2 linked regions of the Caenorhabditis elegans genome follow. The protein of the gene in region 1 interacts with the protein of each later gene in a biochemical or structural test. Each region holds a gene or a part of one and is shown on either strand. Other genes may lie near its edges. The genes, in order: akt-2 and skn-1.

Region 1 (17,982 bases):
CTTGTTTTACTTATTACCTAAAATGTGAATATTCCAGCACTTGGCTCTGATAACTGTTTTTGTTTGTTTTCTAAGTGTCTATCAACTCCATTGCGTGCGTCACTTTTGATGCGTTTTCCCGCGTCACAATCTGATTTGCAAAACGGAGTCAGTTTTGAAAGAACATCTGTTAGCTCTCATATCTCTCCTATTTTTTCATTCATCTCACTAACACACTTGACCGGAGATTGCATATTAGAATAAAGTACGAGACCGAGACATAGAGGGTAGAAATGTTGGGAGAGTGTGCGCTTGCACTCTTCATCGATTTTCTAAGTTTATTTTTTCCTTTTAAGAATACGGCCAATTTGATAACACAACTAGTTTCTAGTTTTCACTATCTAGCTTCTAGATTTAACTCTTTTTACATTAAGTCCCACATTTCCTGTTTTGTTTCAATTTAAAAGCGGTTTTTTTAACATCCCGCTTCTTGTGCGATAGAGCGAAGTTGACTCTGTAGCATTTTGTTTTTATAAGCCTAAAATATTTGCATGCGATTTCCACATTTCTCCAACAATTGAATAGCATTTTCTTAGAAATAACTAAAAAAAACCTTTTCAGATTATACATTTTCAAAACTTATTTATTTAGTTTTCAGATGGCTCCATCAAAAAGAAGTTCGAAAAAGTCACGCACAGTAAGTTGTTAACTTTATTTTTTAAAAAGTATTTTTCTTTACACATTACATTTTATTTTCTGTTGTAAAGATACTTGAACTAATTTTAAGCCAAAAACTAATCAAATTTGGATTAAAACTAAGTAAAAACAATAGACAAACAATTTTCAGAAAAATGTCAGGAGAGAGACGGAAAACTCAAAAACTCAGAAACAATCAACACGGAATCTTCCGAACGTATGATTTGCATCACAAAATAGTCACACTAATATAAAAATTGCAGAGAGCTTGCAAACTGAAATCACTTCCAGCTACAACAAAGTCACATTCGGATTCAGTAAGTTTTTACTTTCTTGTAAAAATAGAAACCGTTAAAAGATTTATCATTTCTAAATAATAACTTGCAAAAGCGCCAAACTAGAAGGAGCCAGAATCCTGTAGTCAAAAAGCGTATTTCATCTTCATCGTCTTCATCTTCGTCTCGTTCGAAGTCTTCTGATAAGTCTAAGAATGTATCAATTCCAGAAGTAAGTTGAAACGTTAACAAAAAGTGCTTCAAAGCAAAAGAAATCATAATGTTAAGTCATCTTTTTTTGTTCATTCTAATTCATAATTCTAATTTTAAATTTGAAAATTCAAAATAAGAATCCTTAAAAACATGTTTAATAACGCTTCAAATCATTAAAATTTAAAAATAGCTAGAATTGTCCTAGGAGGTAGTAGGACAAGGAAATAAGGCCAAATATTTATTTATGAATAAGAAGAAGGGGGGAAACAATAGTGTATATTCTTGGGGAACTGACCGGCTCCTTTTATATGGTCTCTTAATTCGATCAGCAGGGGCGTGAGGAAGCAAGGGAATATGGTAATAAAACATTTTCTGGGAATGTGAATTCGAGGGAATATGGGAATATGGTAATAAAATATTTTCTGGGAATGTGAATAGTCAGAATATTATGGATCAAACATTAAGAATCGCCTTCGATGCGACAAGAATCTTAAATTTTGCCAATTTTACAGTATCGCAGCTGGCGGAAGGTGATTTTTATGTGATTTTTGTTAATTGAAGTATATTTTATTTTTCTGAAAACTTACTGTGTACTAAAAACGTGCTTAAATTTAAAACAAACGCTGAGTTATCAATCAAAATAAGAAAAAAAATTTGTTAAAGATTGGTTTCAGCTCACTAGAAAAATGACAAATATAATAATTCAAAATATTCCGAGTTTAATTAGACCAGAATATAAATTTCACTGTGATAAAAAAAAATCAAAATTAAGATACACATAATTTTTGCTGATCTTGAATCATTTTTTCAACTGTTTCATATGCTTATATATTTAGCTAAATTCTAATACATTCAAATAAGAATGTTTGAAGAAAACGTTTGAAAATACTCTAAATTTCAGGCAGATCAAACACTTGGAATCGAAAGATCAAGACGTGAAGATTCTTCGTCATCCGAATTATCCGAATGTTACTCTGCACAGAATTATTTGGTAACGTTAAATTGTGCTACTAAATTTTAATTTTGAGCTACAGATTCAAAACGCGTACTACTCGGAAAAATATGCTCCAGCTATCATACACAAATTGCTTCCTGCCTTTGAGGCAAACAAAAATCCAAACAACGATGAAATTTTGGAAATAATGGCAGATACAGGATTATCTCGAAAAGAAGTTAGTTTTTTTTTTTACTTTAAAAATTCTCCTTAAAAAAACTCTAACGCGTTTAGGTTCGTCGCTGGTTCCAATGGCGTAATGGCACAAACTTCAGAATTGTTAGGCCAGTGACTGAGGAGCAGAAAAAACGGGCTGCTGAACGAGAAAGAAGCAGAGCTCATTTGAAAGTGGACCTGGAACAGGTGAATCCAATACTAGAAGCTATTCCTACAAGGAATCGGAACTGTGTCGCGGGGGGAATACTGCAACTAGACGTTCAGTCATTTAAAGAGCCTGAACTAATTGTATATGGTTGGTGGCCATTTGGGACTGTGGAAATGGATGATTTCGAAACGTACGATTATCCTTGGGATGATGATGGAGAAGTTGATAGGGAATGGTAAATAACAACGGTAAATGTTTGTAAAGTTCACTTGAGATATGTTGTCTATTTTGGACAATATGGATATGGCTTTGAACAAAAATGAACTAATTGTAAGAAGAAAAACCCTATATTTTTTGATATTCTGCAAAACTAAACTTTTTATTTTCAGGACCCGATCTGAAAAAGAATTGTTGAAGAAACACCCATTGTATTGACAACAAAAAAGCAGCATTTTAAAATAAAGATAACACATTAACTATTTATCTGTCTGTTCCCCATTTTCACTGACTCCACTCTTACATCTACTTTAAGGGTCCTTTTTCCATCCTTCTTTGCAGACCTAACAAATCTAAAAAAACAATCGTATAATATCTGAATTAATTAACCTTTCACGACTTGTAATTAACCCATATTATTATATTTGCTTGGAAAAATAGGATTTTTTAAAAAATGTTGACAGATCCTTTCCAATCATCAATTTCCCATATTCACCATGTCAAAAACACGTTAAGTATTTACGAGAACTCAAGCATGCTCTGTAGAGAACTGTTTAAATTTTCCTTATTTTATGTTTCCGGTTTGCCGACCTGTTTGAGATTTCAAAGCTACAGTATTTTCAAAACGATGTTGCTTTAATACTTATGCTACATTTATTTCTCTATTGGACCTGCACTCAATAATATCAATTGAGACATACATTTCCAGTCCTTATCTATTTGTCTTACTAAAATGTGAACTTTTATCAGTCTTGCTTTCAAGTTATTTTATTCCATTTCAGTTGTATTTTTTAATAACTTTTAATATTTTTGAAATGCGCTGTTAATATTTTTAATTGATACTTTCTATTTAATTTAAATTGTTTATTCCGTGTTTTTACGTGCATTTTCGGATAATCGGCTTCCAAATATACCAAAAATTGAGTGCCTACCGATTGAAACTGTAAGCTAATAACAACTAGGCCTGTTGAATGGGTCGAGATGGGTCGACCCGCGACCCAATTTTGGGTCGGGGTCGCGTCCCCGACCCATTTTCGGAAAATGTCTGAAATTGAAAAAAAAAGTTTGTTTTGTTGTAAATCGTGTTTAAACGTTGACTCTTATGCTTGTTTGTATCGAAAATAGGATATGTTTTTTTAATTGATGAAAATACGATAATTTTATAATTTTCAGCTTTTACACGTGTTTTTTGACAAAAAATAGTTTTTCAAGTTTTTGATAACTTTCTGTTAAATTTTGAAAAAAATGGGTCGGGGACATGACCCCGACCCAAAAAGTGGGTCGGGGCCGCAACCCCGACCCAAAAAATGGGTCGGGGACGCGACCCCAACCCGGCCGACCCAAAAAAAATGGGGCGACCCACTCCACAGGCCTAATAACAACAATGCAGACAAAATATACAAAATAGCAGTATATTCGAATAAAAATTCATATCTGTCCACTGCGAGAAGAACGAGTAATTAATATGTCTTTTTTTTTATATTTTGCACGTTTCTGTTTTTGTGGTGTCCTTGTTCTATATAAAGGACTACACACCAAAAAACAACTGAATAATAGACGTTGTTGACATGCTTGTTTGTGGATTTTCAGAGATCAAATCCCACGTTTTCGGTTTTTTTTGTCGTTTTTTCGGAATCTCTAAAATGTATATTCTTTGTTTTTAGTAGTTCATATTATTATAAAAGAAAAAAAACTGCACATCTGGTAAACAATATAGAAAAAGAGAGTTGCGAAACTTCAAAAATTTGTTATTTAATGTCTTGCGACACTTAAAAAACCGGCATTTTACAGTTTATGTTGTGTTTTTTGTTTGTCGGTTGTCTTATCATCTTGTGGTTTTGGATGCATTTTTCACTTGGCAAGTTGTTTACCACTTTCTTCCGACCGCATGCTTTTTTTGCTTCGTTGGTTTTTTCAAAGTAAGACGGTTGTCATACAACAAATATCACAAGGAAATCACATATTTCACTGTTTCAACACCATGCCCATTTTACTCCAGACAAAAAGTTACCTATGTAGTTCCACTAGACGTTAGGAAATATTATACATTTTTGAAATTCATTTTTATTTTAGAGATTTCAAAATTATAGATTTTTACTAAAATTGCACGGAACGGCGGAAATAAGTAGACGAACGCCTACAGTCAAAATTCACAGGAATACCTCGTTAAATTATTCCGCTTTAAATAACTAAAATTGTATATAACATCACACTTCTACTTCCAGTGAAATACGCCTCTTTCTGCTTAAACTTTTTGTTCAGTTAACCAAAAGAATAGAGATTTGCAGCAAAGGTGGAGTAGCTCTTGTGCACGTGGTGGCAGGCAGTCCCATCACGGTCTGATCTACAAAACATGCGGGAATTTTTTCCCCCAAAAAATATGACGTCAGCACACTCTTAGCCATGCGCATTCAGTTGAAATGTCTGCGTCTAAATTCCCGCGAATTTTGTAGATCTACGTAGATCAAACAGAACTGAGACAATTTGACACCACGTGTCAGTGGAAATTTCATTATAACGCATTTATGATATTACAAAACAATAATACAGTCACTTGAATCTTTGTTTAAGGTGGTTTATATAATTTTCCCCAAGTTAAATTCGAATAATAATTTGTTTTGAAGAGAAAACAAGTTACTAAATGTTATTAAATTGTGAGCAACGTATTGCGTACATAAAATAATTTTGCTTTATACTTGATCCACCAGAATTCACATTCCCTCGTTATTTGAAAATGTTTAGTTTCACGCACATGTTTCTCATATTTCATTATTCCAGAATTTTCTTCTTTTTTTTTTTGAAAACAAATCTCGCTTTCCAAAAAAATCAATATTCAAACGCAACCTTTCTCGTGATGCTGTTGACGGGGGGAGAAATAGTGTCTGAAGTTGTTTTCGTCCTTTTTCCTGCCGCAGCAAAAAAGGTCACATCCCCTCTCTTCGCTGCTATCTCTATTTCTCTCTCATCTCTCTTGCCGGCGTTTCTCTGCTTCTCCGCTCAAGTTTTGTCTGCAATCTTTTCCTTCTGTCCTTTTCCTCTGTTTGCCACAATACGTCACTAGGGGTGTTTGTTTTTCCCATAGTCTTTCGTAGCCAACGACTATTTTCTTCTTTTTTTTTTCGTGTTTTATCAAAGCTATGAATTCTTAGTTCGTTAGATTTTTTTTTGGAGGAAAAATTGTCGTAGAACCTAATTAGTGTTGAATTAAAAAAATTAAACTTCAAAGCCTTATTGAAAATATGATCAATTAAAACTAAATTGTTATAAATGTTTCATAACCATGAAGTTCAAACTATGTTTGTAAATTTTTAAGATGTAATGGAAAAGTTGTAATATTTAAGTGCTCGTGTAGTATATCTGCCCTAAAAATTTTTGCCAATAGGGTTTCCACGTGGTGTCAGAATGTCTAATTTCGGCTTGATCTACGTAGATCTACAAAAAATGCGGGAGAAGAGACGCAGAGCTCTCAACTAATTTTGCATGGTTAAGAACGTGCTGACGTCACATTTTTGTGGCTAAAAAGTCCCGCATTTTTTGTAGATCACACCGTAGTGGGACACGTGGTTTTCCATTTTTGGGGCAGGTATAGTACATAAATACCATAATTTAAAACTACCTTTTAATTGTATTTTTTTAACGACGTATTTTTCTTTTTTAAAACAAAATCTCTGAAAGAATTATCACTATTTACAGCGTAAAAATGTCTACTGAAAACGCCCATCTACAAAAAGAAGACATTGTTATTGAAAGTTGGCTTCACAAGAAAGGAGAGCACATTCGTAATTGGCGCCCCAGGTAAGTTTTTCATTGTTTTACCAGGCCTATGTATCCAATCTAGTACAGTAGTTTTAAGTTTCATAGCTACTGTCCCTTATGAAAAGATATTCAAAAAGTTTTCACTTTAATTGCACTGAATTGGAAATGAAAATCTTCCAACAGGAAACCAAAACTAATTTGGAAATAAATGAAAATTAAATCCTAAGATGTCAGTATTTTAGGTACTTCATCTTGTTTCGAGATGGAACGTTGCTTGGATTCCGGTCAAAGCCAAAGGAAGATCAGCCGTTACCAGAGCCACTGAATAATTTTATGATTAGAGACGCAGCGGTAAGTTTTTGAACCTGTAGATGGTTACTAGAAAGTTTTCAAAATCGTTGCTTTTAAAGGTGGAGTAGCGCCAGACAATTTACTAAGTTTTTGCCACCCATTATTTTGGAAGTCGACAAAAAGAATTTTTTCCAACATTTTTTATACTGTATATCTGTTTTAATTATATCCATTGAAACATTGTAAGGGTCGGAACCAGGGGTGTGCGGCAAATCTCAAAATTTACCGAGCTCGGCAAATTCGGCAAATCTATTTTTCCATTATTTGCCGAGCACGGCCAATTCGGCAAATTTGCCGTGCTTAACAAAATCGGAAAAATTATATATTTTTTGATATTTTTTGGAGCACCGAAACTACTGAATTCTTAACACACCTCTGGTTTCTGAACAAGTTAGATGTAGTGTGTCTGCTTAAACATCAAAATAACTCAATTTGTTGTCATTTTACTAAATTTTTGGCGAAAAAATCAACAGTTTTAGTCAAAATTGTACTGTCAAATTTTTGACGTGTGCGGCAAATTTCGAAATTTGCCGCACACCCCTGGTCGGAACATTCGACATTGCTTTCGATTTCTTCAAAAACTCATACTTTTCAAAACTTTGGCAATTTGCCAAAACTTTGACCGGAAATTATGAAAAATCTAAAATTTATTGGAATGCTTCATTATGATATTCGGACATTTTGGATTATTAAAAATGTGTTTGAACAAAATCTTCCCTGGCTCTACTCCACCTTTAAGCAGAAAGTTAGTACCCCAGTAATATACATATGTAGAAATCCCTCTTTAGTAAAAATTTGAAAACCTTAGCTGAACTTCAAATAAGTTTTTAAGTAATTGCCAGTAGGCAGTTTCCATATTGAAAACCGCAACTACCAAAATGCTTTATTTCAGACGGTTTGCCTTGACAAACCTCGACCAAATATGTTTATCGTGCGATGTCTCCAATGGACCACTGTCATTGAACGCACATTTTATGCGGATAGCGCCGACTTCCGTCAGATGTGGATTGAAGCAATTCAAGCTGTATCCAGTCACAATCGTTTGAAAGAAAATGCAGGAAATACCAGCATGCAGGAGGAAGATACTAATGGAGTATGAAAGTAAAGAGATTCAAAATTTTCATGAAATTTTTTAGAATCCGTCTGGAGAAAGTGATGTGAACATGGACGCAACAAGCACCCGTTCGGATAATGATTTTGAGTCAACTGTAATGAATATCGACGAACCAGAGGAAGTTCCAAGAAAAAATACAGTGGTAAGTTTCAAAATCCTGCCAACAAATCCACGTATTGATATGTGGAAATAAGAGGTTTTTAAAGAAAGTTTTTTGAGTAAAAATGATTAACTCGAAAGGCGCAACAAGTTTTTTTTGGTTGACAGGTTGAGCGAAACTTTTTTTTCTGATTTTCCGCTAAAAATTCAAGTTTTGCTTTGTATCTCTATTATTTCTTAAATGTATGTAGTTATTTAATTTTGCAGACGATGGACGATTTTGACTTCCTCAAAGTTCTCGGTCAAGGAACCTTCGGAAAAGTTATTTTGTGCAGGGAGAAAAGTTCTGATAAGCTCTACGCCATTAAGATTATCAGAAAAGAAATGGTCGTTGATCGTTCTGAGGTGGCCCACACTTTGACTGAAAATCGAGTTCTGTATGCTTGCGTTCACCCTTTTCTCACGGTATGCTTATTGGTCGAAAAAATATTGAGTCGGTGTACAATGTTGGCAGATGTCAGTGAAAATTGAAGTAGATGATTTTTTTCGTGAAAAAATCATGTTTAGAGAGACGGATAAATGCACACTAGGATTTCAACGATGGCGCTACTCTCGCCCGCCAGCACCACAATACGCCCCACACTCCCGCCGCCCTCACAACATCGCCTTTCTCTGTTGCACGTAGCTATAGTGGCGCGAGGTCCTGCGCGGCGTCGGCAGCAGTACACAGAGTGTGATAATGCTGGCGCATGGGCGTGCCGAAGTAGGGCGGGCGTTTCCGTGGAACCATATTTTTTTTCTCTAAGAAACTCTGAAATACATATTTCCTATAAATTTATCGATTGCCATAACTTTACAAATATATCTTACTTACAATTATTTAAAATATTTGAATTCCCCAGTTGTTGACACAGTGCCACAAATATATTTTTTCAGCTACTTAAATACAGTTTCCAAGCACAATATCACATCTGTTTTGTGATGGAGTTTGCAAATGGTGGCGAGCTGTTCACCCATCTTCAGAGGTGCAAAACATTCAGCGAAGCACGAACAAGATTTTATGGATCGGAAATCATACTTGCTCTTGGATACCTTCATCACAGAAATATTGTGTATCGTGATATGAAAGTAAGTAGAAGCTTTTTGAGAGGGGTTATCACAACTTGAAGTATTTGTCAGAAATTTTTGAATTTCACAACTTTGATGTTTTTTCATTGTTTTTTCCATTGTTTTTTCAGCTCGAAAATTTGCTTCTCGACAGAGATGGTCACATCAAAATCACTGACTTTGGGTTGTGCAAAGAGGAAATCAAATATGGAGATAAAACAAGCACCTTTTGCGGAACACCAGAATACCTTGCACCAGAGGTAAAGCCTTTCAATTCTCGCGTCAAGTTATTAGTCTATTGTTTCAGGTTATCGAAGACATCGACTATGACCGTAGTGTTGACTGGTGGGGAGTCGGAGTGGTCATGTACGAAATGATGTGTGGACGGCTTCCATTTTCAGCAAAGGAGAACGGCAAACTCTTCGAACTAATTACGACATGTGATTTGAAGTTCCCGAATAGGTTAAGCCCAGAAGCCGTAACATTACTATCTGGACTACTCGAAAGGGTCCCAGCTAAGCGGCTTGGTGCCGGTCCTGATGATGCACGTGAAGTTTCGAGAGCTGAATTTTTCAAAGATGTGGATTGGGAAGCAACATTAAGAAAAGAAGTCGAACCTCCATTTAAGCCAAATGTGATGTCTGAAACGGACACGAGTTTCTTTGACAGAGTACGTTACGTTTCAATTCTTTTGAAAGTTTCAGAAGCAATATGAGTAATTTTTAGAGTAAACGATTTACAATTAGGGCAAAGTGTTGTTATTTTTAGTACAGTTTTAAAAAAATGTATGCCAACGTACATAAGATTTCATTTAGTTTTTTTACTGATACTGAAACACAAACAACACTTTGTTTAATGACTAGGATTTTCCAATTTTCATAACAGTTTTCATAGTTTCTAGAAATAAGAGAACCAATGATTCAAAAATGATATTAACATATACTCAGGAGTTCACATCAATGCCGGTCCAACTGACGCCTCCACGTAGAGGGGAAGAACTTCCGACAGTTGATGAGGAAGAAGAATTACAAGCCAACTTCATACAATTTGCGTCATACTACGTGTCGGGAAGCTTGGAACGATCTTATGATACGAACAGAAGCGCTGACAAATACGAAATAAGATGATTTTGTTTTCAACAATTTTTTGTGTTTTCTGTACGTTTTTTTCTCATTCACTCAATTTTGTCAACATTTCATTGTCTCCTTTGAAAACTTGTTATCTCTTTCATGAACTTAACAAAATCTCTTTCAAACATTTCAACCTTTCCAAAAACTGAAACTTTGCGTAGAGCACATTTCGTGTTGCTCACATCCTCTGGGCTAATTTCCATTCCTTTCCTGTTAAAACTCCCCATTTCGCATCACTTTTTTGACAATGCTCTTTTATCATGTTTTTCTGTAGTACTTGATTCATATACCCATCTCTCGGGTATATTTAAAACTTTTAAAACACAGTTCCTTTTCTTGATAACATCTTTTTCTTGATATTTTGTCGCCGACATTTTTTCTCGGGAATGAACCTTTCTCACATGGATGACTTAACAGTACTTTTACATTAAGACAAATACTCAGTTCAAGTAACAAAGAAAACTTTTATCAGAATTTATTTAGTTCAGTTTTTGAATGTCTAATAAAAAAGTGCATTATATCTCAAAACTTTCGAACATAGAAAAACGAATGCTTTTAATAAGTTGTAATTGGAATTGAAACAGATTTCGAGAAGTGAAACAATGTTCGGGGATCCTGTGGAAATCTGTCATGCCATACGAGAAAGTACATAGCAAAGTTTTCGATTAGAATAGTTTCGAGTAGACCATCACTTCTCTCAATATCGAGTCCATATGTGCAATCCACAAATTCAAGATCATCACTGAAACGACAATTTAAAAAAAACTGAATTTTCAACTGGCAGGCTTAAGTTTAGACATATGTTCCGGTTAAGTGTAAGGCTTGGGCTTAGGTTCAGGTTAGGCTAAGCATTAAAATTGAAATCAGGTGTCGGCTTAGAAAGCTTAAGTTTCGACTTAGCTTATGTGGTTTTAAAGTGTAGTTTTTCTTTTTATTTTTTCCCTGTTTTCCCCTAGATTTTAAGCAAGAATAATGCATATCAGAATGATTCCCTCCATTTTTATGACTTGAAAATTCCAGAAAGTTATTATTTGGAAAAGACCTTAATTAAACATACCAGAAGATTCTTGCTCTACGTTTTGGATTCCATTTGGAATATGATAAACCTTTCAATAATTCGCCCGTCCAATTATGCCACCAGTAGTTCAATTGAAGTCTTCTCAGTTTCGGCGAATTCCCGGCCAGCCAGTAATGAATTTACTTATTCCGTTTTGTTGCCGAGACTGTATTGAGATCATAAAATCTCATTTTCTCGCAATCCATCATTTTCAAATCGTCTAGTGTTAATCCTGGGCCTTTTTCGATGTCCAATCGTGGAATATTGGCCCACTTAAATGTGAATATGCTCATAATTCAGCAAAGATATTTTCAACTTACCAGCTTTCTATCAATCTTGTCCTTGTGTAAACAATAAGTCAGGAATCCATATTTCGAATCGAAATTCTTCAATATAAATTCCATATCTTCAGTGCCAAAGTACGAATGTCCGAGAAGTTTTAGAAAATGGCATTTCCGAAACAAAGGGTGGCTCAAAGCAGATTTGAACTCCCCAAAAAGTTGATCATGGTCAATTGCCAAATCGACATGATCGATTGAAAACAATCCGTTCAAATAATCCAAAAGACTAGTCAACTGAAAGTTGTCATAGCCGACCAAATTTAGATTGTCTACCTTTCTTTAGTGAAAATTATCAAAATTAGAAAATAAAATCAAAAGCATAGTAGAAAACTTGTCCAGGAACAGAGGAAAACTGGATTTCCATGTGCAAAAACTAAATAACCTATCTCCGCGAAAAATGATCGGATAGAGCTGTGATTTGAGATTCCATTTTGAATCATTCTATTAACTCTAAATTTAACATAAAAACCGAAACGATAGTGGAAAGTTTGTGAATTTTATGGAAAAATGCAAATTGTTCAAGATAAATGTTCATTTTTCGATTTTTGATACGATTATCCACCTTTTTTGGAAAAAAATTATATTTTTCGCTTCCTCTCGATGTATTCAACATTTTTCCAAAAAAAAATTGGAAAAAAAGCAAGACTAACAGAGATTTGACCGGAACAATGGTGAAAACTGACCGAAAACACACCAAATATGAAAGGGGGAGGTGGGTGTGTGTGTGAGAGAAAAGGGGGAATGTGCAGAAATTTTGGCAAAACTTTAATTATCGTTTTAAAAATAACGAATAGAGATATCACAATGAATTTGGATACTATGGATAGGTATTGGGAAGGAGAACTTAAGTTTCGAGTCTCAAATGTTTTCGATTGAAACTCGAATTTTCCTTCAATTTAAAGTGGTTTTCGGCCAGTACTTCGGTGTGCGCAAAAACAAGCAGGCTGTGGTTTTCCGCTTGTGGAGCCGACAGGATGCTCCAAAATCAACCCCCTTTTAGATGAACACACGTCGCTATATTTTGTGAATGTGGAGAAAAAAGAATTTCAAAATTCGGTCCAGTGAGAGCCGAGATATAAACGTTCATGACAACTTTCAGGGGTGTGGCGTAGATTGTAAAAGTGCGAAATTTCTATTGCTATTAAGTGTTTGAGCCAAAATATAATGGTGTTTTCAAATTTGAAAAATAACGAACAATGAAACATTTCACTTTTTGGAAAGACGTGAATTCTCAAAACTTCTGTAAATGTGCTGAAGTTTGTCAAGACCGGCCAAATTTGATTTAATATTAAATTTAAAAATAACAAGTTCCACTTTCAAATGGTGCTTAACTGATGTCGAAAACTTCTTTGTGTAATCGGGCCTGCGGCCCTCAACCTGAATTATTGAGCTAAGAATAGGCTTAACGTATGCCCATCACTTCTGAGTATATTCGGGCCTGCGGCCCTCATTATGTGTAACAATCTATTTTTCGTGTAACAATCTATTTTTTCGTGTAACAATCTATTTTTTCGTGTAACAATCTATTTTTTCGTGTAACAATCTATTTTTTCGTTTAACAATCTATTTTTTCGTGTAACAATCTATTTTTCGTGTAACAATCTATTTTTTCGTGTAACAATCTATTTTTCGTGTAACAATCTATTTTTCGTGTAACAATCTATTTTTCGTATAACAATCTATTTTTTCGTGTAACAATCTTTTTTTTCGTGTAACAATCTATTTCTCCCCGCCATCTGGTCCTCAATATGCATGCGTCTCTTCAACTTTCTACAATTCCCGGCGGGGTAGTATTATGAGTGCACTCCAACTTGCAAAAAACTCTGACTCCGTCTGGGTCGCGGGTCAACGCAATAATGCGGATCGGCCCTATGCCACCTCTATTACCGCAGAATGAGCACTGTCAAAATATCTCCTAGCGAATATTACAGTAACTCTTCAAAGAACAACAATAACCAATCCCATTTGTTTGAAATTTTGAAGCGCCGTGGAAAATTTTGAAAATTTTTGAAGTCCCGCTATGTAATTTGTATAATGTAATATGTAAAATCCAGTGAAAAATCAAATTTTCTAAAAACACATAAATTTTTTGAGAAGTTTTATTATAAAATGTATTACAACATCTGATTACAAAAGCTGTTTCTAAATCTACTCTACGAGAGAATATTGTCAATTGTGAAGGGTATGAATGATTTGCGTCCGATACTCTGATTGGGTGGAGCTTGTGGTTTGACAGTGAGCAGATCATTGTTGGCTTGAATAATTGGAACAATAGGAGTTGTATGCTGCAATGAAATACAGTTAGGTCATAGTTTTAGAAAAACATGACAGTTCAATTTTTTTTTTGAAAAATACACTATTTATATGTATTTGTATTCTCACAGCAAAATATGTGTTAGAGTCTGAATTAATTTTCAAAATGTTTTTAGCCGTTTAAAGTAATAAAATACTACAAATGAGACGAACATTTTTCCCAACTTTTTCTATGTTTACAATATTGAAACGTCTATCCATTAGTTTTTAAAAACCTCAAATAAAAGTTATAATTCAATTCTACAGCAGGTCCAGTCAAATTATCATGTTCTAAAAACTACGGATCTTACTTCAATTTTATGACTTTTTGTAAATATCAAAGTCTCATAAAATAAATTAACGCTTTTGGTGAAAAGTATTCAATGAGGATTGGCATTGGGAAAATTTAAAGCTTTAATCTCGTCGCCTTTAAAGTTGATCTGATTTTAATTGAATTTGTATGGTTTCAAGAGAAATATTGTGGAACAATTTAGATAAGAGTGCCAAAGATTGTCGATTAAAACTTTGCAATGCATTTTTAATATAGTACGTCTGAATGGCATCTGACAATTTGGGGTGAAATTAATAATTTGAGGTTTAGTGAGAACTCATTTACACATACCAGTTGTTCAAAACTGGAAAAAAACATACCATTTCACTGCTTGATTGCCCAACAACACTCGAAGTTTGCCGAACAGTGTTCATGTAAGCTTCCAGAAGTACCTTCAGAAGTTTCTGTATTTTAAAACTCGGAGAAAAGTAACATACCATTTTACTGTTTGACGGTCCTGCAACATTAAAAGTTTCCGGAACATTGCTTAATAGTTTCATGTTCTCCAATCGGTATTGAGCTTGCGATGACACCTTCAAGAAAAGTTTTTTTTGTATGTATTTATGTCAAAGCGAAAAAAAATATACTATTTCACTACTCGGTGGCTCGGGAACAATCGAAGATCCCAGGAGTTCTACATTGCTTCCCGATTGGCTTGTAACTTCTCTCGACATCTTCAAAATTTATTTTATACATGACAACATATTTCCAGGAGCCTAATGCGATAATGATGCTCAGCGCTACAACTTGAACTGTGTGCATTTTGCAAAGATTTTAGAATGAAGTCGAGTATGTGTCAAAAAAAACTTCAACTGGATTTTTCAATCAAACTCTCTGACACGGTAATTGTAAAATGTGATTTTTTGAGCTGTCCAAGCATAAAAATGAAAACAATAATACATTTTCAAACAATAAAAGCAGAAGTGTGATGAAACTTATTAAAATGGAAAACGTCGGCAACTTAATAATTATGAAACAAATACTTCTATGAAAATTGACTGAAAAGATTAAAATGATAGCGACAAACGCAGAGAAAGAGCCCATTAAAAATTGACAACAGGCATTTCATTAAACCCAATTAGTAACTTTCTCAGCAAAACTGATTCACAAAAATGATTCACATAAAAATTAAATTTCAACTACCTTTAAGGAAGCCTTTTTCACTTTTACTCTCATTGCCTTGAACCAGCGATTAATCTGAAAAAATAGTAGACTTTGTTTCTAAAATTTAACAACAAACCTGAGCTTCGTTTCGATTCAATAAACCAGCAAGACGATTCATTTCAGAAGTTCCAGGGTGTGAGTCTTTTTCAAACGACTCCTTCAGAAGCCCTAACTCGGCTATTTTAAAATTTTGTCTCGTTTTTTTACTCTTCTAAAAAATGAAATATGGAATTTGAAATCATCAAGTTTGCTTGCTTACCTCCATGTTGTTGCTTTCAACAAGTTTTTCGGATGGAGAATTACCTAAAATGTCGATGAAAGATTATTGAAATAAGAGCAGTAGCAAAAATTAAAATAAACTTTTAAAATATTAAGATTGATAGTGACTATCGTCCCGTGTAGGAGAGAAACACTTGAGAGTTGCAGAGTTTGAAAGTACAATGGTACTTTTTCATTATCTGGTTAATCGTACCTATTATTCTCAGAATTCTTCTTTTGGGTTTCTTCGACACCTGTCCTGGTGTATTTTCCTATCGGGTTTTCCTGTCAGCGGGTAGGATCTAGTCGGAGGTTGCTTCTCCACTAATCTTATTTAATTGGTCTATTTTTTAGGCGGCCTACATTTATCATTTGCTCCGCATCTTGTGGGCTCTGTGCACCTGCACCAAATTGAGTCTATCCTAGAGCGTATAATTCACTTGGCATCATGTATACAACGTTAGGAAACTATGAACAACCCCTATAGTAGAATATATACTACTTAAGGCCTGGAGAGTCAGAAACCGCCGGAGTGGTGTTTTTTAATGCAGGCGTATGCAGTGTCACATAAATGGAGACACATCGCTGGCAACAGTAGATACAGGGGAGACACATAGTTTTCAGGTGCATAGACCGCACATGGAGCAGGAAATGATAAACGGTGACCGCCTGAAGATATACCAATTAGATAGAATTAGTTGAGGCTTCCCCCTAAAACCTAACCGCTAGCACAGTAACCATGAGAAGCGCGCTTTTATGTGCTGAATAAATTGGTAAATGATTGCACCAGGACAGGCATTGAAAGAAAAATTCTAGAGAAAAACTGAGTTGCAAATTATCTGATTGAGAGATAGAACCATAGAAAACACTAAATACGCAGATAGGTTATCCTAAAAGTAGAACGTCAAGCAAAGCAGTAGCAAAATATTATTATGAGAAAGTACGAAAATTGTGTACAATAACTGTAAAAATAGTCATTATCCAAGCTGCTTTAGAAGCTTTTTTTTTCTTATAACGACCTGATAAGTATGCTACAGTGCCATCTCCAAAACGTTGTGTTTCTGATCCAAAAAAAATTGATCAAGTTTTTACTATAACCAGATTAGTAAAGATAAACGTGCGACGGATAAATCTGAAACGATGGATAGCGTTTCTAATAGAAACGAGTGCGGCTCAATACTAACTACTCGAAAGAAATATTGGTTCCTTGTTAGTGAGCAACGTCAACAATGACAATTAACTCATGTGACTTGCTGAAGTATAGCTGCATATCAGTTTGATAATAATCAGAATGTTGAATAATAGTTGAGTTTTCGTACTAGCTTTTATTTAAAGTTAGTATGAAAAATTGTTGAGAGCTGGTCTAATTTCTTTGATCTCACCCTTGCAATTGTACTACTGATTACATTTCGTTTGTCCAAAATCAAAGGTTGGGAGCATTCAACAAAAATACTTGTTCGGAAATTCTGGTGTCGGGCTGTCTCATTACGGTTTGATCTACAAAAAAATGTGTGAATTTTTTTTTCAAAAAAAAAAAAAAGTGACGTCAGCACGCTCTTAACCATGCAAAATTAGTTGAGAATTCTGCGTCTTTTCTCTCGTTTTTTTTTGAAGATCTACGTAGATCAAACCAAAATGGCACACTCTGACACTACGTTAGATCCTTTATTCAAATCAAGGTGAAAACTGTTCATAACTAAACGAATGATTGGGAATACAAGCTACTTTGATCTGCCAATTTCAAATATTGTAAAAAAGCCCAAATAAAACAAGTGGAAAATCAAAACCAACACCAACTTTATTGAAAGAAAAACCTCAGGCGTGAAACACGGAAATTATAGTTGAGAAGAAGACGCCCTAAACTTAGGTGAACAGAACTAGAAGAAATGCAATAATATGAATGAAAATAACTAAACAGAAAACATAACGCTTGATGTGCCGAAGTTGAACATCCAATATTCTCTCTTCTTCTGGTTCCTCAGAAATTTGAGTTTCTTCATTAGACGATGGCTCCGAGGAGAGTAGTTCAGATGTTGATGCAGAAAATGATTGTGGTTCAGATGTCATCGGGATGTCAATAAGAACACTCGAATCAGATGATTTTTGGAAAGAGGTAATGTCTTCGTGAAGAGGGTTACCAATACCAACAGAAGTGCTCGATGAGCCACCACCTTGCTCCAGAATTTCTTCCAATGTGCGGGTACTGTATACATTGCTGAACAGCCTGTAAAATTGTTATTGAAATATTGACAACGATTTTTAATATGTTTTTGGGTTAATCGGT
Region 2 (9,534 bases), on another chromosome or scaffold:
AAGCTTCGTCGTAATGGCATCGACATGGAAACGTACGCATTGTATGGACAAGGAACTCCACTATCAGGATCATCTGGAATTGATCCTGGAATTCGTCGATTCTTGCAGTTGCTCGAGTTTTTGTTGAAAGAGCTCAAGGTTTGTGGGAAAATATGTTGCCGTTCGGAGTTGGTTAAAAAATTGGGAGTTTTCTTGAAATCGATCTCTGTACAGAATAAAAAAGACATATCCATCAAAAATAAGTATTGTGAATTTATTTTCGTATTACCCATTTGCAAAAGTTTATGCGATTTCTGCTTCAAAAATACAAAAATAGACAGATTTTCTGAACTTCAAAAAAATCGTGCACCTTTAAGGCCTACTGTAGTTCCCAACTCCCATTTTTCAACCGATTTACGTTAAAAAGGTATAAAACCAACCCAAATCTGAAAGAAACTAGTGAAAAAGAGTGATTTTTCCTAGTTTTCCGCCCGTTTCTACGAAATTTGGCGTGTTTTTACATGTTTTTTAATAAATTTTATTTAAATAATTGGGTGAACACTTGAGGAGTTGGGAAATACCGTAGGCCTTAAAGGCGCACGATCCCTTATGAGTTTGAGTAAATCGGGTTTTTTAAAGTATTTTTGGAGCAAAACTGTAAAATTTCACATCTCGTTAAGAATGGATTTACAATATTCATTTTCCGGTATAAAGATCGATTTTATAATTTTTTGGTTTCAGAAACACCCTAATTTTTATACATTTTTCAGGATCGAAACAAAAATTTCAAACCACCATATCAAATTCATGCTGATTCACTGGTTGACAATGGTGTCAAATACAATGCAGTTATGACACTCAACACAGATGTTCGATGGACTCGTGCAATGGCTCTAATGCTCACAGATCTCAAAGCTGCGTGTGCTCAATGCGATGCTCTCAGATCGCCTATTTAGTGATTTCACGGGATCAAATGTAGAATAACATTTTCAACGCTAGAAATTTTTTTTTCAATTTCTCAGGGACGCTTCTTTAAAAAATATTCAATTTTCATTGTGATTTCTAGTTTTTTTTTTCAAATTTTCTGCTGGAATTCTGCCTTTTCCCCAAACTTGTACCATATGTAAATATATTAAAAGTAAAGATTTTTATTGCAGTCTTGTGGAGGAAATTTTGTTATTTTTTGTTGATTGGTTTTGAAACCAATTCTGTTATCTAAAATTTGAATTTTTCCTAATTTATTTTCTCTTTCTTGTTGCTTTACTTGGTTTAATGATTATTAAAATTTTCTGAAACTGTGAAATCAAGTTCCTACCACTAAACTTATTTTAATCTGATTTTACTAATATTGCCTCAAAATTTTCGAAAAATGTATAACTGAAAATATCGAAAAATAAGGTCCAAATTTTGCTAAATTCTGGATTTTTTTAAAGCTAAAACACCGTTTTTTTTTTATTTTCGACCAAAATGTGTGGAAAATTTGAATGTTTTTTCGATTTTTCCAGTCATAAACGTTTTTGAAATTATTTAAATAAATATCACTATGAAATTCGGCACTTTTGTGCCAGATTTAGTTTTTTTTAAGCGAAAACCTCCCACAAACTATATTCCTCCTTTAATTAAATTTGAAAAAAAATACTGTAGGTTTTTGTAGACAATACAATTCCCCAAAAACGAAGTTTCTAGTTTTTTCTAGAATAGTTCTTGTAATTCCGAAAATTCCCGTTTTCTGAATTCTAGAAAAAAAATTGTTGTAACTCAAAATATTGCAGAGAAGGCCTCGTGTCGTCGTTCACGCGTTTCTCCTCCGTCGATCGGACTCTGGTCACTCAGCCGCGAGTCCGTGTCCGAATATTGTTGAGAGAAGTGTTCCACTCATTCTCACAGGATCTATCATAATCCAGTCAGTCGATGGGCGGTTCATCACGCCGTCAGCGAAGTACGTCGGCGACGAGACGAGACGATAAACGAAGACGAAGACAGTGCTTCTCTTCGGTAGCCGACGACGAAGAAGAGACGACGTCAATTTATGGAGTGTCGGTTAGTTTTTTTTTTGTTGGTTTTATCAAGTAAAAAGACCTGAAGAATATCATCATTTCACGGGAGAGCATGACTTTTCGTATCACTTTTCCAGTCAACTCTTGCAATTCTGATTCAATATTACTTGCATTTACAATTTTTGTTTTCTTCATGTTCTAAATCCAACTTTAACTAAGATTTGTAGATTTTTTCCCAAGATTTTTGGCTCAAAATTCCAGCTTTAACCTTAAACATGGCTTTTCTCTTCACGGATTACTTAATTTCTTCAGAAACAAGAAAAAAAACTAAAAGAATAACCAAGATCTGAGTGGAGCCTATTTTTAGCTTTTTTAAGCTTTTTCATCATCTACCTATATATTATTCTTGGAAGTTTCTATTAATTCGAGTAGACTAAAATAGGGAAAATACACCACAATTGAGAGTCGAGTTTTCAAAAATATGATTTTTCAAGTTCAAATTCAAACATTTTTTCTTATTTACACCCGGTTATAGATCATTTCTCAAAGACCGCGTAACATATTTACTTTGAACAGCTTTTCCTTCCCAAACTCCATATCAGACCACCTTCTCCTCTTATCACTTCAGTCACATCACTCTCGTTATCTAGGTCTCCCGCATTGTTACGTGTTAATCCCAACTATCTCATGTAGAATGTCACAGTTGCCTCGTTGTCTGAAACTATTCACGGCTCATTCTGTCTCTCTCTCTCTCTCTCTGTTGCAATAATGATGCCGGAACGACTATGTTCGTAAATGCCAGAGGACGAAGTCGAAGTCCTCTGAAAAGTAGAATTTCAAAAATTCAAGAAAACAATGGAAAGCGTGATCTTTGTATTTCAGAGCCGCTAAGAAGACCGTTCCCTTCCGAAATCCTTCTTCCGCCAGATCATCAGATTTTCAGATATTTTCCAATCTCTTCAATCTTAAACTTAGCCTAAAATATTACTGTCTGTACATTGTCCTCCATATATGTATATTATACAAACATCTTGCCGGAGTCGCTCCAAAATCGCAAACCCCCGATTGCCTATATGCCAGCTTGATAGCAGCATTACCATCCTGATAGACACCCCACGAGGCTCTTGATTTTTCGAACTTTTTCTGCTACGCCGACAGCGACTATCAACAACGGTTTTCCACCACCACGTACAATGTTTGATCAAACCGTTTGATTAAATTGACGCTCTCGGTGCAAGATGATATCATCTGGAAATGAGACGTTTAAAACCGAAAAAATGACTTGAATCATATCTGTGGTCTGATTGTGAATGGGTGCGGTTGACATGGTTAGTTGGGTTTTTGCACGCAATGGATCAAGGAATTGGTATAAGTTGAAATTCGGATCACAGCTTTCGATTTGTAAAAATTGAAAGTATGATTATTTATTGACAGAATATGAGTAGAAGCTTTCTTCTACTATATTCTAATTGAATTGCAATGTATTTGACATGCTGAACCTATTCGTTTTCACGGTTGAGGTCAAGAAATATAATTCTGAACATCACGTTCTACGAGAATTCATAAACAGCCAAATATGATGTCAAACTCACAGTACACTCAAACAGAAAGATTGAGTTCTTTGAGTTCCGACGGAACTACTATATTCTAAATTTCGCGATTTTTGATCATAATATCCTGAAATAAACAGGATATGTTCTGATTAATTGAGATTTTCAACCAAATATCAGACTATTATGCGCTTGTTTTTATTTTTGTTGTAGTAATAATAAAAATAAAAACACGTGGTTTGTAGCAGGTTTAGTATCATAATTATTTTTAGCCAAGATTTCGAAGAATTCTGATCACATATCAACAGGGAAGAAGGTGTGTGGATAATTCAATTTTCCCATGCATGTCTGACGCAGGTGGTTTGAATAATTCAGTTGTAGCTCAATTGTAGATGTATCCGATTTCCGTGTGCACCCAAACCTCTCTTTTTTAGAATATCGAAAATCTTTTCTTTTTCTCGTCAAGTGATATCTTTTGCATCTCTCATATATTTCTTATCAGTCTTGGCACAAACTTCAAACTGATATGCTTTATTTTTGAATTTTTGGTTCCTTTCCAAAAAAAAACTTGGATTTTTGGAAACGTGAAAACCAGCACGCATTTTGAAATTAGGCGTTGAGAAGAAATTAAATCAAAACAAATTTTTTATTCTCAGCAGTACCACCAAGCATTAAGTTTATTGAATAATTGTTTTAAACTGTTCTCTCGGTTTCGTGAGTTTCAGTTTCAATCGTTTTTCAAAGTATTCTGTACTAGACTTGTAACTTTTTTCGAAAAATATATCAACTTTTTGAATCAAAAATTAATGTTAAAATGTAGGAAAATGCTCGTTCGGTTTGAAAAAAAAATTTTTTTTGAAAACTTTTTAAAAGACGGCACAATTGAAAGTCTTTTTCAAACTTTTCCAACAAAAATACATATCATTTTCAGATTGAGCGAGCATTTTCCTACATTTTTATATTCATTTTTGTACGTTTGCCGAAATATTTTTCCGCACAGTCCTGCTCTGTACTACTTCTGTGTGGATTCATCAGAATTTAAGGGCAACGTGCTATGAAAAATTGCATCAACATCCACACACACATTCTCCAGATCTTCGGTTTTTCACCTCCCACCGTCTACTACCTGCCTGCAACAATTCGGTCGCACTCGCCCTCTCGCTACAACATTCACCTGCCGTTGTGTAGTCGTTTTGTAGTCGTCGTCTTTGGTGCAAGCGGCGAGCGACAATGCTGGTCTTATCAGCTTTCGTTGACTTCGTTACGGCCCCCACAGCAGCCTTCTCTTCTAGTTTTTCATTTAATTGGTCAATTTTCTGCGCACGTTAATTTACCGCGCACCAAGATTTCGGATCAAAAAGTTGCGATTTTCGATCTCCACAAGTCTGTGTCTATCTGTGTTCAGGCAAATAGACACGGCGGTCACAAAATTTTTTTACCTCTGCGTCTTCCCATTGGACATGCGCTTTCCAGCATTCTCTCGTACACCCTGCGTGTCTACAGTTTCAGCCATCTCTCCTCGTCTTGTGATCTACTCTATCGGCGCGCTCTCTCGTATTTGTCATCATTTCCATGGCGGCAAGTTAGCACAAATCGTAGAGAACTTAGAGAAATAAGGACACCGAGTGCACTGTTTCGATGGTTTTCTTTCGTTGTCTCTGGAAATCGCCTTTCTTTCTGTTTTTTGACGCCATTTTTCACTTGGTAACCTCAACACGACAACTAACTTCTTGTGTTTACTGTTTTTGGAATCAATTGTCTTTTATTTTTTTTGCGGTTTTGGACCGCCCAGAAATCGGAGTTCTTTTTTGAATTGTTGATTGTCAGGCGCCTTTGAATGTATGTTTTTCTTTCAATTCCAGTTCAATCAGGCACCTGACCCAAGCACTCTCAACTCTCACTGATAGCAAGTTTGAACTCGAATTTTCGGCAAATGTTTTAGTTGCCCTTATCTAGAATTATATTCTCACTCACTCGTATAAGCTTTCTCGCTTTTTCATGATTTTTTGTCGCATTTCAATCACTCGAAACTGACTTTTGTTTTAGTTTTCACGCAATTCTCGCTTTTCTCCCAATTTCAATAGTTTTTTTGTAGATTTCTCGACTCAATTCTGCAAGTTCCTTAAAAACCCGTATATCTACAGTAACCCGTTAGCACTTCTATTGATTTTTCAAAAAAAAACCTTTTCTCGTTTATTTGACCAACTTTTCTTGTTTGCTCTCTAGCTTTTTTTGTTCTGATCCAGTCGTCTCTAGACAGTTCATAGTTCACTTTAACATAACTGTTCTAGGCAAAAATGTTTGGTTTTATTTTTTGAAAACTAAGAAACTTTTAAAAAAGTGACTTCTTACGGTAGTCTTGTAGCATTTTTTTAAAAACAGAATTCAATTTTTGAAAAGTATTGCGAAATCTTTTGCATCATCGCAATTTTTTCTATTGTTTATTTACATCTGATATTATTGTTCTAGAAAATTCGAACCTGATTTTTTATTCGAACGACTTCCTGTGTCCTCTTTCTCTAAAATTTATCTGAAATTCAAATTTGGCGCCAGGCCAAACGCCAATGACATCATCGAAAATCAGTCTGTAGTGAGTGAAAAACGGTGTACAGAACTAACAACAGTCACGTAGGCATTTATATATCTCTGTCTCTCTCTCTCTCTCTCTCTCATTTTCTCTCGACCCTATGAGAGAGAGGGACATTTCTTCTTTTCTTTCCAATCGTTCTTCTTCTTATTTTCTACAGCTGATGATGTTTGATGAAGGTTTTATTTTCCTTGCTTTTTCCACCCTGTTAATATTATTTTCGATATTCCCAAAAATAATTCCAAATTTTCAGTCCATATTCATCTGGATACTTGCAACATCATCACTGATTTTGGTGATCAGTTCACCATCGTCCAACACCTCAATCCAATCATCGTCATACGATCGGATCACGACAAAACATCTTCTGGACAATATATCACCGACATTTAGTGAGTATGACTTGAAAAGTGCATCTGATCACTTTTCGAGCCGTTTTGTCGCTAGGGACTTTTTAATGAATCAGATGTACTTTTCGAATTTTTTAGAGCAAAAGCAGTAGTTGCACTTTTGAAACTTAAATTAATATACAAAACTATGATATATATTTTCAGAAATGTACACGGACAGCAATAATAGGAACTTTGATGAAGTCAACCATCAGCATCAACAAGAACAAGATTTCAATGGCCAATCCAAATATGATTATCCACAATTCAACCGTCCAATGGGTCTCCGTTGGCGTGATGATCAACGGATGATGGAGTATTTCATGTCGAATGGTCCAGTAGAAACTGTTCCAGTTATGCCAATACTCACCGAGCATCCACCAGCATCTCCATTCGGTAGAGGACCATCTACAGAACGTCCAACCACATCATCTCGATACGAGTACAGTTCGCCTTCTCTCGAGGATATCGACTTGATTGATGTGCTATGGAGAAGTGATATTGCTGGAGAGAAGGGCACACGACAAGTGGCTCCTGCTGATCAGTACGAATGTGATTTGCAGACGTTGACAGAGAAATCGACAGTAGCGGTGAGTTTGAAAGCCGAAGCTTCTGACAGTAAAACCTATCCTACAGTATCTGCAGCAGGGTTGTCCTTTTGGTTTTTTTTCGAGCAAAATGCAAAATCAAAAAAAGAAGTTTGAAAACACTTGAGCAATTGAGACCCCCATTAAAAAAAGATTTTCCGGTTTTTTAAGGAAACACAAAAAAAAAAAACTCATTTATTGAAATACTAATTTAGTGATAGGAAATTTTGGCATTATGGCATTGGCAATTTACATACAAAAAACTGTGGCAACATTTCACGGCAACCGTAATCAAACCAAGTGCCTCTTTGTTCTTGATGAAATGCCATGTAGGCACAATCAACATCTGGCTCATTTGGCTGTGAAGATGCCCAGTTGAGATAATCGGCTTCCGAACCATCAGACCACTTGTACACGTGGAATGTATCATTTAGCTTGTTGAGGCCAATCCAAATATTGTTCTCTGTAGTAGTAATGAATTTCAATTAGAAAAAGGATATATCTCACTCTTTCTTAGTTTGTGTACAAATAGGTTTTCGGATTCATCCTTGATGCTAACCAAGTGCCCTCCCATTGATCTACACACATTTTCTGCTGGAATCCACATTACGTCGGTTTCAAACATCTTATACCAGTGATCTTCGTATAGTTGCCAGCCCTGCAATCGGCGTCACTTTTCGTGTTAGTCTGTATTACGATAACGAGCCGAGCAGTCTTTTCGCACGCCTTATCCTGGTTGCCGTCATTTTTATTTTTCATTGTTTGTCTCTCTCTTGATACCTTATCGCAGCGTAAAACTTCTAGGATTCGTTTCGACCCGGTGGAGGGCGTTGTTTCGATTTTCCAGAGCAACGTTCGATGATGACAATTCAACGACCCGCCGCTCTGACGTACTTTTATAGATATTGAGTATTTTGTAGGTCAAAAAGAGCACGTAAGTAGACTTTGAGCTATCAGTTGGAAACTCTTAGACGAGATGCGTCATAGACAGGGACGAACTCTTTAGGGAATATACCTATTGCGTAAGTACATGGATAACTTACACTTTGTTGAAGAGCTAACACAGTCAGTAGACGCACGTTGACATCGAGATTTATTGCACGTTGTCCAGCAATAGATTGATATGAAGATTTTAGAGGGCTAGGAATGACTACGGTATTGATAGTTGGAATGAGAAGGTATAGGAGAAGAAGAATCATGGTTGAGTTGAGGAATGATTGGGGGAAGCTGATTGAATGGAAAACAATCATAGAGATGATGGTGTCAAATTTCTCAGCAAATAAATTTTAAACAATTTCTATCATTTCAGCCACTCACTGCCGAAGAGAATGCTCGATATGAAGATCTTTCGAAAGGATTCTATAATGGATTCTTCGAGTCGTTCAATAACAATCAATATCAGCAGAAACATCAGCAACAACAACGAGAACAAATAAAGACACCAACTCTTGAACATCCAACTCAAAAAGCCGAATTGGAAGATGATCTGTTTGATGAAGATCTTGCTCAGCTTTTCGAGGATGTTTCAAGAGAAGAAGGACAATTGAATCAACTTTTTGATAATAAGCAACAACATCCAGTTATCAATAATGTTTCTCTGTCGGAAGGAATTGTTTATAATCAGGCAAATTGTATGGTTTTGATTTAATTATTGTGTTTTCATTCAACATTTTTTATTTTTCAGTGACCGAGATGCAAGAGATGCGTGATTCCTGCAATCAAGTTTCCATTTCAACAATTCCAACAACATCGACTGCTCAACCAGAGACTTTGTTCAATGTAACCGATTCACAGACTGTCGAACAGTGGCTTCCAACAGAAGTTGTACCAAACGATGGTGAGTTGCTGCTGGTTGCACTTTCTCCTCTTTTTCTCTCCCCGTCTATTCCTCGCTATCTCTATCTATTCTCTTATCAATTCGTGTGCTCTAATCATTTTTCCTGACAAAAGTTGAGAGACTAATGAAGGAGGCGTGCCCATTGTTGAACTTCTGAAATGAAAGCGTAGTTTGGTGGGCGGAGCCTCAATCTGGAGCTTATCCTCCTTTATTTGCTCTCTTATAAACGACTGAAATTCAAACTCCCACCCGAATGTCACTTCCATCTGATTTTGCCTCCTCTCTTCTGGCATCCTCTACCACCACCAACACCACCAACACCGCTCCAGCAGCTGTCAACTCTTTTGACGAACAAGAAGAAGAATCCAAGAAGATACTGAACATGTACCTTCAAATGTTCAATCAACAACAGGTGGATCAACACGGCCATCATCACCAACATCCATACGCCTATTCAGGAGTCTCGAGCACTTTTGACAGAGGTTCCTATCTCTCTCTCTCTCTCTCTCTCTCTTTCATCCTATCTAGACATTCCAACATTTCCTCCTTTCAGGGCTCCCTCATATCTTGGAATGGCAGAGGGTTGTTAACCTAGAAGCGGCTTAAAA

Evidence for each region.
Region 2: of the proteins of akt-2 (region 1) and skn-1, one has a biochemical effect on the other in vitro, tested with the Caenorhabditis elegans proteins (one study listed by BioGRID).

The regions. Positions count from the first base shown.
Region 1 is NC_003284.9:14,141,309-14,159,290, forward strand, and holds akt-2 (Serine/threonine-protein kinase akt-2), read left to right. Parts: upstream 1-6,391; 5' UTR 6,392-6,398; coding exon 6,399-6,493; intron 6,494-6,696; coding exon 6,697-6,805; intron 6,806-7,697; coding exon 7,698-7,898; intron 7,899-7,941; coding exon 7,942-8,061; intron 8,062-8,285; coding exon 8,286-8,483; intron 8,484-8,954; coding exon 8,955-9,146; intron 9,147-9,256; coding exon 9,257-9,385; intron 9,386-9,432; coding exon 9,433-9,795; coding exon of another isoform or gene 9,796-9,840; exon of another isoform or gene 9,841-10,072; coding exon 10,073-10,252; 3' UTR 10,253-10,660; downstream 10,661-17,982. Other genes in the region: ceh-89 (Homeodomain-only protein), read left to right, coding at 638-676, 827-892, 939-992, 2,065-2,154, 2,198-2,335, 2,392-2,520, 2,872-2,883; ceh-90 (Homeobox domain-containing protein), read right to left, coding at 13,807-13,938, 14,597-14,668, 14,714-14,809, 14,864-14,950, 15,420-15,473, 15,517-15,651, 15,700-15,705; lgc-25 (Acetylcholine receptor-like protein cup-4), read right to left, coding at 17,562-17,922. UniProt on the Caenorhabditis elegans protein: Acts downstream of PI3 kinase age-1 and kinase pdk-1 in the daf-2/insulin receptor-like transduction pathway. Essential role in regulating developmental arrest at the dauer stage.
Region 2 is NC_003282.8:5,652,741-5,662,274, reverse strand, and holds the start of skn-1 (Protein skinhead-1), read left to right. Parts: upstream 1-1,890; coding exon 1,891-2,019; intron 2,020-4,709; exon of another isoform or gene 4,710-4,859; intron 4,860-4,904; exon of another isoform or gene 4,905-4,957; intron 4,958-6,366; coding exon 6,367-6,505; intron 6,506-6,667; coding exon 6,668-7,092; intron 7,093-7,271; exon of another isoform or gene 7,272-7,322; coding exon of another isoform or gene 7,323-7,552; intron 7,553-7,596; coding exon of another isoform or gene 7,597-7,747; intron 7,748-8,132; coding exon of another isoform or gene 8,133-8,288; exon of another isoform or gene 8,289-8,326; intron 8,327-8,398; coding exon 8,399-8,720; intron 8,721-8,773; coding exon 8,774-8,926; intron 8,927-9,045; exon of another isoform or gene 9,046-9,179; coding exon of another isoform or gene 9,180-9,408; intron 9,409-9,534. Other genes in the region: bec-1 (Beclin homolog), read left to right, coding at 1-138, 750-935; clec-178 (C-type lectin domain-containing protein), read right to left, coding at 7,323-7,552, 7,597-7,747, 8,133-8,288. UniProt on the Caenorhabditis elegans protein: Transcription factor. Required to specify the fate of ventral blastomeres in the early embryo, and postembryonically for the development of the intestine. Directly regulates expression of zygotically expressed med-1 and med-2 to direct mesendoderm development.